2 linked regions of the Sus scrofa genome follow. The protein of the gene in region 1 purifies or fractionates together with the protein of each later gene. This does not show direct contact. Links are inferred from orthologs where the notes say so. Each region holds a gene or a part of one and is shown on either strand. Other genes may lie near its edges. The genes, in order: KIF22 and KPNA3.

Evidence for each region.
Region 2: the proteins of KIF22 (region 1) and KPNA3 purify together in Homo sapiens (affinity purification with mass spectrometry; 3 studies listed by BioGRID and IntAct, counting the BioPlex papers as one, with this or other methods). This does not show direct contact. The link is inferred for Sus scrofa from reciprocal best matches to the Homo sapiens genes KIF22 and KPNA3.

What each region holds. Positions count from the first base shown.
Region 1 is NC_010445.4:18,036,457-18,040,266, forward strand, and holds part of KIF22 (kinesin-like protein KIF22), read left to right. Parts: coding exon 1-94; intron 95-2,293; coding exon 2,294-2,462; intron 2,463-2,974; coding exon 2,975-3,143; intron 3,144-3,810. UniProt on the Homo sapiens protein: Kinesin family member that is involved in spindle formation and the movements of chromosomes during mitosis and meiosis. Binds to microtubules and to DNA. Plays a role in congression of laterally attached chromosomes in NDC80-depleted cells.
Region 2 is NC_010453.5:17,946,771-17,951,059, forward strand, and holds the start of KPNA3 (importin subunit alpha-3), read left to right. Parts: upstream 1-1,439; 5' UTR 1,440-1,469; coding exon 1,470-1,538; intron 1,539-1,850; exon of another isoform or gene 1,851-1,876; coding exon of another isoform or gene 1,877-2,032; intron 2,033-4,289. UniProt on the Homo sapiens protein: Functions in nuclear protein import as an adapter protein for nuclear receptor KPNB1. Binds specifically and directly to substrates containing either a simple or bipartite NLS motif.

The sequences.
Region 1 (3,810 bases):
CATCAGAGGCAAAGAGAGCCCGAGGCCCGGAGGAAGAGGAAAGTGGAAGTCCTGAACCCCCAGCAGCTCCAGCCTCTGCCTTCCAGAAACTCAGGTGAGCAGAGAGGGAGGGTTCTTATGTAGATTCCCCTTATGTCTGGATTGGGTGTGCAGTAGCAGTGGGTTTAGCCTGTAAGATCCTTGAGCTGTGAACTTGGGCTTCCACCGGATTCACCCCAAATCCTACTTTATTGAATTCACTGAAGTGCTAAGATCTCCAGCCTTGATGCTGCTGCCAGAGGCCCTAAGGAGGCCTCCAGGCACTCCTCCCCCCACCTCCCCCCCACCATCCTGCTTTCCATTTTCCAACTCCTTTAGGCAGTCAACAAAAATCTCATATTTTGCCACCAGTATTCCAAGGATGAGCACTTTTGCTTCTGGCTCAAGGAGTAAATGAGGATCAGGTCTTTCAGGTCCCAAGGATGAAGAGAAATGTCTCGCTGAGATTCAGTCTGTGTGTTAAGAGTCCAGCCTTTCTGTGACCTTCCATGGGTTTAGTTGCCGTCCTAACTTTTCCCTGCTTCCACCCTCAATCCAATCAAAACATCTATTTTCTTTTTTCTTTTTTAATGGCTGCACCCGTGGCATATTGAAGTTCCCCAGGCCAGGGATTGAATCCTAGCTGCAGCTTCTACCTACGCTCTTGTGGCGACACTGGATCCTTTAACCCACTGCACCTGGCCAGGGATCGAACCTGCACCTTCACAGTGACCCCAGCCACTGCAGTAGGATTCTTAACCCACTGCACCATAGTGGGAACTCCCCAAACAAAGCCTCTAAATTAAGTCATTTCTGTGTGTGGCCTCCCCAGTTCTGACAGCCCCACCTCATGGCCCAGCAGCCACTAATATTCAGGCCCCCCCATGTTTAGTGGTCTTGCTTTCTATGTCTGGCCACTTGGCCCTCCCTAACTCCAAAGAACGAGTTGCAGTTTGAACTCTGCCATCTTTCTACTCCTAGCCCACATAGAGCCTCTCTAAATTGTATAAGTTTGAAGACTACTGAACAGAGGTGACCTGAGGAGGCCAAGGATTAGTGCTTATGCTGCCTCGGGGGCTATAGTAGTTAAGGATGGCATACACAAAAAGATGCCTGGTGGAGTTCCCCTTGTGGTGCAGCAGTTAAGAAACCCGACTAGTATCCATGAGGACTTGGGTTCTATCCTTGGTCTCACTCAATGTGTTAAGGATCCAGCATTGCCATGAGCTGTGGTGTAGGTTGCAGATGTGGCTCAGATCCCGTGTTGCTGTGGCTGTGAGCGTAGGCTGGCAGGTGCAGCTCTGATTGTACCCCTACCCTGGGAACCTCCATATACTCCATGGGTGCAGCCCTAAAAAAGCCAAAAAAAAAAAAAAAAAAAGGTGCCTAGGTTCTTGTGTTCACTGACAACCTTAGCTTGTGATCTTGTCTTTCTCATGCCATTTATTGGCAGTCCCCTCTCCCATGTATCCAAATTCGGAGAAGCACACACACCCACGCATCTATGTTACCTGTGAACAGGCAAGGTCTCTGCCAGAAAGGCTCAGAGATGGGGCACATCAGACCTGGACAACCCCTGACGCCGGGGCTCACGGTTTAGCCGAGGAAGCAAGCTGGGAATCAGTATGTGATGCAAGGTTGACAGCAGACAGTAAGGAAGGTGGACCCTCCTGTTCTGTGAGATCCAGCAAGGAAGAAAGACCTTCATCTACATTTTCTGATCCTGCTCCTCTTGGCACTTGCTCACAAAGAACAGAGCAGTCTCTGTCCTGGAGGAGCTAGTTCACAGTGTAGGAAAGAAGATACACAGTCAAGCTGGGCATCAGGGGAAAGGTGGCTGACGTTGATAATCGAGGTCAGATGTGAGGGGGATTCCAGACAGAAGGACCGGATGTGAGGCATTACCATGCTCGGATTAAGGCAGGCCACTGTTTGAAGAGGGCTTTCCTGCTGCCCACAGGAGGGAGGCTTGGCATTTGAGATCTTCAGGGGCTTTGAAAGCCCTGTTGAAGATGACCTCCTCGGTGAAGCTTTCACCGATTCCTCCTCCACATGCACAGGCGCACGGCCCTTGCTGACACCTAATCAATCACAGTCAGACAGTGAGCGCCACTGCACCCAGAGAGTCTGGATGACTTGTTCAGGCTTGCCCAGCAAGTTAACACTAGGGTTCTGGAACCATAGCGTATACCATGTTAAGGCATGATGAGGAGAATCCTGCTGCTACAGAGGGCAGTAAAGAGAGGAGGGTGAGGAGTCAACTTTGTCTGCTCAGCCCCCTGCAGAAGCTGAGTAGCATGGACCCAGCTATGCTGGAGCGCCTCCTGAGCTTGGACCGTCTGCTGGGCTCCCAGGGGAGCCAGGGGACCCCTCTGCTGAGCACCCCGAAGCGAGAGCGGATGGTGCTCATGAAGACAGTGGAGGAGAAGGACTTGGAAATTGAGGTAAGTGTTGGGGGTTGGGGCTGGGACTCCTCCTGGCCTTGAGAAGCAATCTGAGGATCTTCAGGTAGGGAAGGACACTGAAAAGCTGGACCAGCACCCTGTTTTTACCCAACACTGGAATCCTTTCGTTCTTGAATGTCCTTCGCATGGCTGAACTTTGAAAAATAATTGAGATCAGATGTGAGGAGACGAGAGGGCAAAAAATTCCAGGTAAAAGAAACAGATGCAAGACACTGCCATTCCCTAAAACTCAGTTCACATTAAGTTAGGACTCTGCTTGAACAATCCTTCAGTATTTCCCAAAGAGGCTGATTCCACCGCTAGGCAGCCTTGATCATTAGAAAGCTCTTAATTACATCAGGCTCCACTGTCTCCTGGTAGTTTCTCCCAATGGTCCTCACCCAGCCCCTTTAGGGCCTCAGAGCCCTGCACACTCGCATCCCTAATCCGCTGCCCTTCAAACTGCCCCAAAGTTGGTTCTGGGTCCTATCTCTCCCAATCCTTTCTAACAGAGGCTTAAGATGAAGCAAAAAGAACTGGAAGCCAAGGTGCTGGCCCAGGAGGCTGCAGACCCAAAGGAAAAAGAGAATTACTCTCCTACCACGCTCAGACCTCTTGCCCGCCGCACAGTCACAGTGGCGAAGCCCCTCAAAAGAGCTGTGGTGATGCCCTTACAACTGAGTAAGTTTGGCTCTGGGGGCCAGGAAGACCCAGATAATTGAAGGGAGTTATTGTTTGGGGCAGCTGACCTCATGTCACTCATGTCCTCACACAATACACCAACCCCAGGGAAAGGAAGAGGGATCTGAAGTAGATCTGGGTGCTCTGCCCTCCAGCATTTAGTACAGTGGGGTAGACTGACAAATGCGTGATTGATTATTCTGCAAGACCAACGGAGGTTACTTTCTCCCTTTTTTGCTTTTTAGGGCCACACCCACAGCATACAGAAGTTCTCAGGCTAGGAGTCAAATCGGAGCTGCAGCTGCTAGCCTACACCACAGCCACAGCAACAGGGGATTCAAGCCACGTCTGCGAACTACACCACAGCTCAGGGCAATGCCGGATCCTTAACCCACTGAGTAGGACCAGGGATGGAACCCAAATCCTCATAGATACTAGCCAGATTCATTAGTGCTGAGCCACAACAGGAACTCCTGAGGTTACTTTCAAATATAAGAATGGGATGGTCATGCAGAGAAGTTCTATTGTGGCGCAGCAGGTTAGGGATACAGCATTGTCAGTGCAGCAGCTTGGGTTCCTCCTGTGGCGTGGGTTTAATCCCTGGCCCAGGAACCTCCACATGCCATGTGTGGCAAAAAAAACAACCCAACAAAAGAGAGTTAACTGG
Region 2 (4,289 bases), on another chromosome or scaffold:
CCCAGCACTCACAAAAATGTCCTGGACATAGCCTGGACCTTGAGCTTTCTAACTCCCCTTTGCTTTGAAGGAATATCTTCTTTAACCTCTTTATGGTTATATTCCTTCCCAACCTTTGAATGACTTCAGTCATTTGAATTGTACTATAACATTGCATACCTCCTTATAGCTGCCATAGATTCTGAAACTACATTATTTCATCTACATTCAAAGAAGCTCACTTGCCCAAAAAGCAACTATTAGTGTTATATATCCACATTTCTCCTGATCATTCTTACGATGACCCTAAAGGAAGATGCTAGACTGGAAGAGTCTGCAGACCAAGGCTTGACTACTTCCTGAGGGCCGAGAAGATTATGTGCAGAGGTGGAACAGAAATATCGAGAGTACAGAAATGCAGGACCTGCCAGAGTGAAGGTTGCAGAACCGAGCTTGGGAGAATGATGAAGACAGATGCCGGAGCACTAATCTATTCAAGCATTTATTGAGTATTCATGACATGCCAGGCACTGTATTAACGGAGGGATTCAGCAGTATACCTAACGTCCCTACCTAACTGAGCTAATTCCGATACGGTAAACCAGATCGACACACACACATATCACATACATACATATATACATGTCAGGTGGAAATAAATGCTAATTATAAAACTAAAGCAGAGCAAAGGAACAGCGAATGAGGGTGGCTGCTATTTCAGGAGACCCCCGTGCCACCCTCCCCCCCCCCCGCCCCCGCAAAGAAGCAAGAGAGCAAAGCACCAGCCGTGCATCGGTTTCTAATTTTCTAGGCTACACGGAGCTAGGTGCACCTCCCAGGAAGCTCCGCCCCCTCCCTCCCAATAGGACGCAAGGTGCCGTCTCCGAGGAAGCTCCTCCCACTCCCCGCCCAGAGGCGGCCTTGGGGGCGGAGCCTCGCGCCCGGGCTCCCTGAGCGCGCCGCGCATAAAGACGCGCGCTTAGGGTTCCCGGCATTCTTCTGATTCTGTCAAAGCCGGGAGAGTTACCCTCGCTAGGGAATGGCATGCTGGGAACTGTAGTTTCCTCCCGCAACCCCGCGTCCCGGGGGCAGTAAAAGCTGCTAAGTTCGGCTCCATTGCTGGCACCATACTTGAAGCCCGGCGGGGTTGTGGGGAGGATTTGCGGAGGGGCTGGGGCCGGGGTCATCCCGAGTACCACGTGGAACTTATCCAGCCCGGCGAGCGTCCAGGCCGGAGCCCGCCCCGGACACGTGACCCCGGCCTCCACAAGAGCGCGCCGTTCCAGAGCACGGTTCCCGCCCCGCCCGTCTGTCGGCCTGCGCCTCCCCCGGCGCTGCTGCCACCTCGCGCTCGGAGGCGTCACGGAACGTGCCCGCCTTTCCCCCTCCTCCTCCCTTTCCCTCCCGCTCTCCCCCTCCTCCCCCTCCCGCGCCGAGACTCGCCGCCGCCGCAGCCGCAGGAGTAGCCGCCGCCGGAGCCGCGCGCAGCCATGGCCGAGAACCCCGGCTTGGAGAACCACCGCATCAAGAGCTTTAAGAATAAGGGCCGAGATGTGGAAGTGAGTGTGCTTTCGCTGCTGGGGCCCTCCAGGCTCGCCCGCCTGGCCGCGCCGGCCCCGAGGCGGCGGGGAGGGGCGGGGGGCCGGCGCCGGGCTGGTTTTCGCCGGCTCGCGGTGGGTCGGAGTTAGCTACCGTCTCCCGTCACCGCGGCCAGGGGCTGGGCGGAGCGGGCGGCGGGACGCGGGCCGGGCTGCAGCCGCCTCTCGAAGCTGCCGGCGCGGAGTCCGGGAAACGCCGGGGTTTTCGGCCCCGTCACGCGGGCGCGGCCTGCTGTCGGCGAGGAAGAGATGTGGAGCTGAGGCGGGGTCCGCGGGCTGGGGCCTCGCGGGCTGGGGGGATGCTGCCGCCCGGGTCCATCGACCGCCCCGCCGAGGGGGCGGCCACGGCTCGCGCCCGCTGCCCGTGCAGCCTCCTGCCCGGCGCGGCCCCCTCAGTGCCTCCCGCGCTGCTGCACATGGAGCCTCGGCTCTGCCGGTCCCCGCGCCTACCTTCTGTGAGCCGGGCCCAGGCGGGCGGTGGCGGCCCGCAGAGGGGGGTGGGGACCAGCCGGGTAACTGACTTGTTTGAGGGTGGTGAATGGGGGAGGGTAGGATGCGCTAGGACCATTTTCTTATATTCCAGTGCGGTTCTTTGGACCAGTCGCGCTTTGCTTTTCCAGCTCATACTCCTGTTACTGCTGGCATTTGGAGCAAGCTGAAGGTGGACAATAGTTTACCGTCTATTGTGTTGAGGCTTTGGAAGAGACGTTGTTCCGACCTCCGCTCACAGGACCTCTTTTCTTAGCCTTTTCTTGTAGTGAGGGTGTGCATAGGGTAATCATGTCTTTGAAACGTTTTACTGAAATAAATTGGATACATAGGTTCATACGGCCTTGCGCTAAGCTGGTAGAATTTCCAAGTGGTTGCAAAACTGTAAACATTGATCGTGTTCACTCAGTTCGTTGCTACTCAGCATGTTGCCATTGTCTCATTAAGGTGACATTAGCAGGTACTGTTTGCAAACTCGGCTTGTCCAGGCAGCGCTAGAGGTCTCTCTGCAGCTTCTAAAAGCAGTGTAGTTAGTGTAATGCACAAACTTCACTGGGACTCTGACCTCTGGATTGTTGGGGGAAAGTGGTTTCAGGTCCACAGCCTTCTTTTCTTTTACTAGGTGACATGATTTGCAGTTTTCTCATTCTTGCTAAGCGGCCAGTGTGACGAAGAAGTGCGCATTTTATCCTGTCTTAAAGAGAGAAGGTGGTGGGGAAAATATACCGTTCAGTGTTCTGTTTTGTAGAAGAACAGACAAAACTGAGGCCGTTTTTCGGAGCCACAAAATTAAATAGTAATTGGAGAAAAACGTAGGGAAATGCCTTGGAATTTTCATATTATTGAGACAGATAAAAGTCATCTTTTTTCTGTCCTGGTCATTGTTCAATTTTACAGTGAGAAATACTTGTAAGCAAAAGTGCAACTTAAGAATAGCAGTAAGAAATTTGGAACTGCTTCTTGTTATTGGTCCTCTTGATGATAGGTAATTTTGAACCGTAATCATCAGTCATTTTTCTTGAAGCTTACCTCTGTCATAAAGCAAAACTTAATGTAGTTTGAAAAATACTTGTATTGTTTGTACAGAAGAACTAATTAACATTCTTCCCCCCCCCCTTTTTTTTTTGCCTCTATTGTGTTTGGGGATCTCAGTGATACCTAGTAAGGACTCCTTTGCATAATATGCACACAGTGTATCTCTGCTAAAGGTCAGAATGTGATCAGTGACTTCTAGATGCATAAAAAAGATATGAAGCCTGAAAATAGCGGTCACATTACAATTCTTAGAATACATGAGGGAGAATAACTAAGGCATGAAATAGCAGACATTCAAATGGTAGTTCCATGTGGCAGCCACTATACTAAGAGCTTCATGATACCTCTTTTAAGCCTTATGACAACTTTATGAGCTAGGTGTAGCATTATCACCACTTTACAGGAGGAAAATACTTTAGATGAGGAAACACAAAAGTGCTTATACAGTCTGCACAAGGTCATGAAGTGGGTATGAGCATTCATTCATTGGTCTACTGGGTATCGAACAGTGTTTGGTTTGTAACTCAGGGATTTTTACTTTTATAGTTCAGTAGGAATGATAGGAAAGTAAACTGATGATTACAGTGCAGGACATCAATAAGTGTATTCTGAGACTGCATGAGAAGATTTTGACTTGGAGCTGAATGGTCAGGGGAGAGTTCTGGTTGATTCCTGGTGGATGACTGGGAGGGAGCTGATCCTGAAGGATGAAAGAAAGATGGCCAAGGAAGGGGCATTCCAGAATGAGGGAGCAGTAATTGAAGAGTCCTGAGAGACTGTAGGACTGCTGAGAGAGATGGATACTGGAGATGTGATTAAAGGGTCAAATCCGATCAAGCGCCTTTTTTGTGAAATTTGGTATAACTGAGATTAGACCCCCCATATAGTCTTATCCATTAGGAACTGTATTACACTAGAAACTTACATTGCACCTTAGCTCTGTGACTAAGTAGTAGTGATTATTAGGCTATTCAAAAAGTGAGATGTACTTTGATGAGCTTTCATTTCTACCTTTTCATACATGGGATAGATAAAAGGTAAAACATATTATGAGTGATATAGCTGGACGATACATAAATAAGATGCTAGGTACAAAAATAAAATAAATATTTTTAAAGAAAATAACAGTGTGGCGTTAAGCCAGGGAATTGTGAGTAGGGAGAGGGCTGAGGAAGAAAGTAGTTTCAT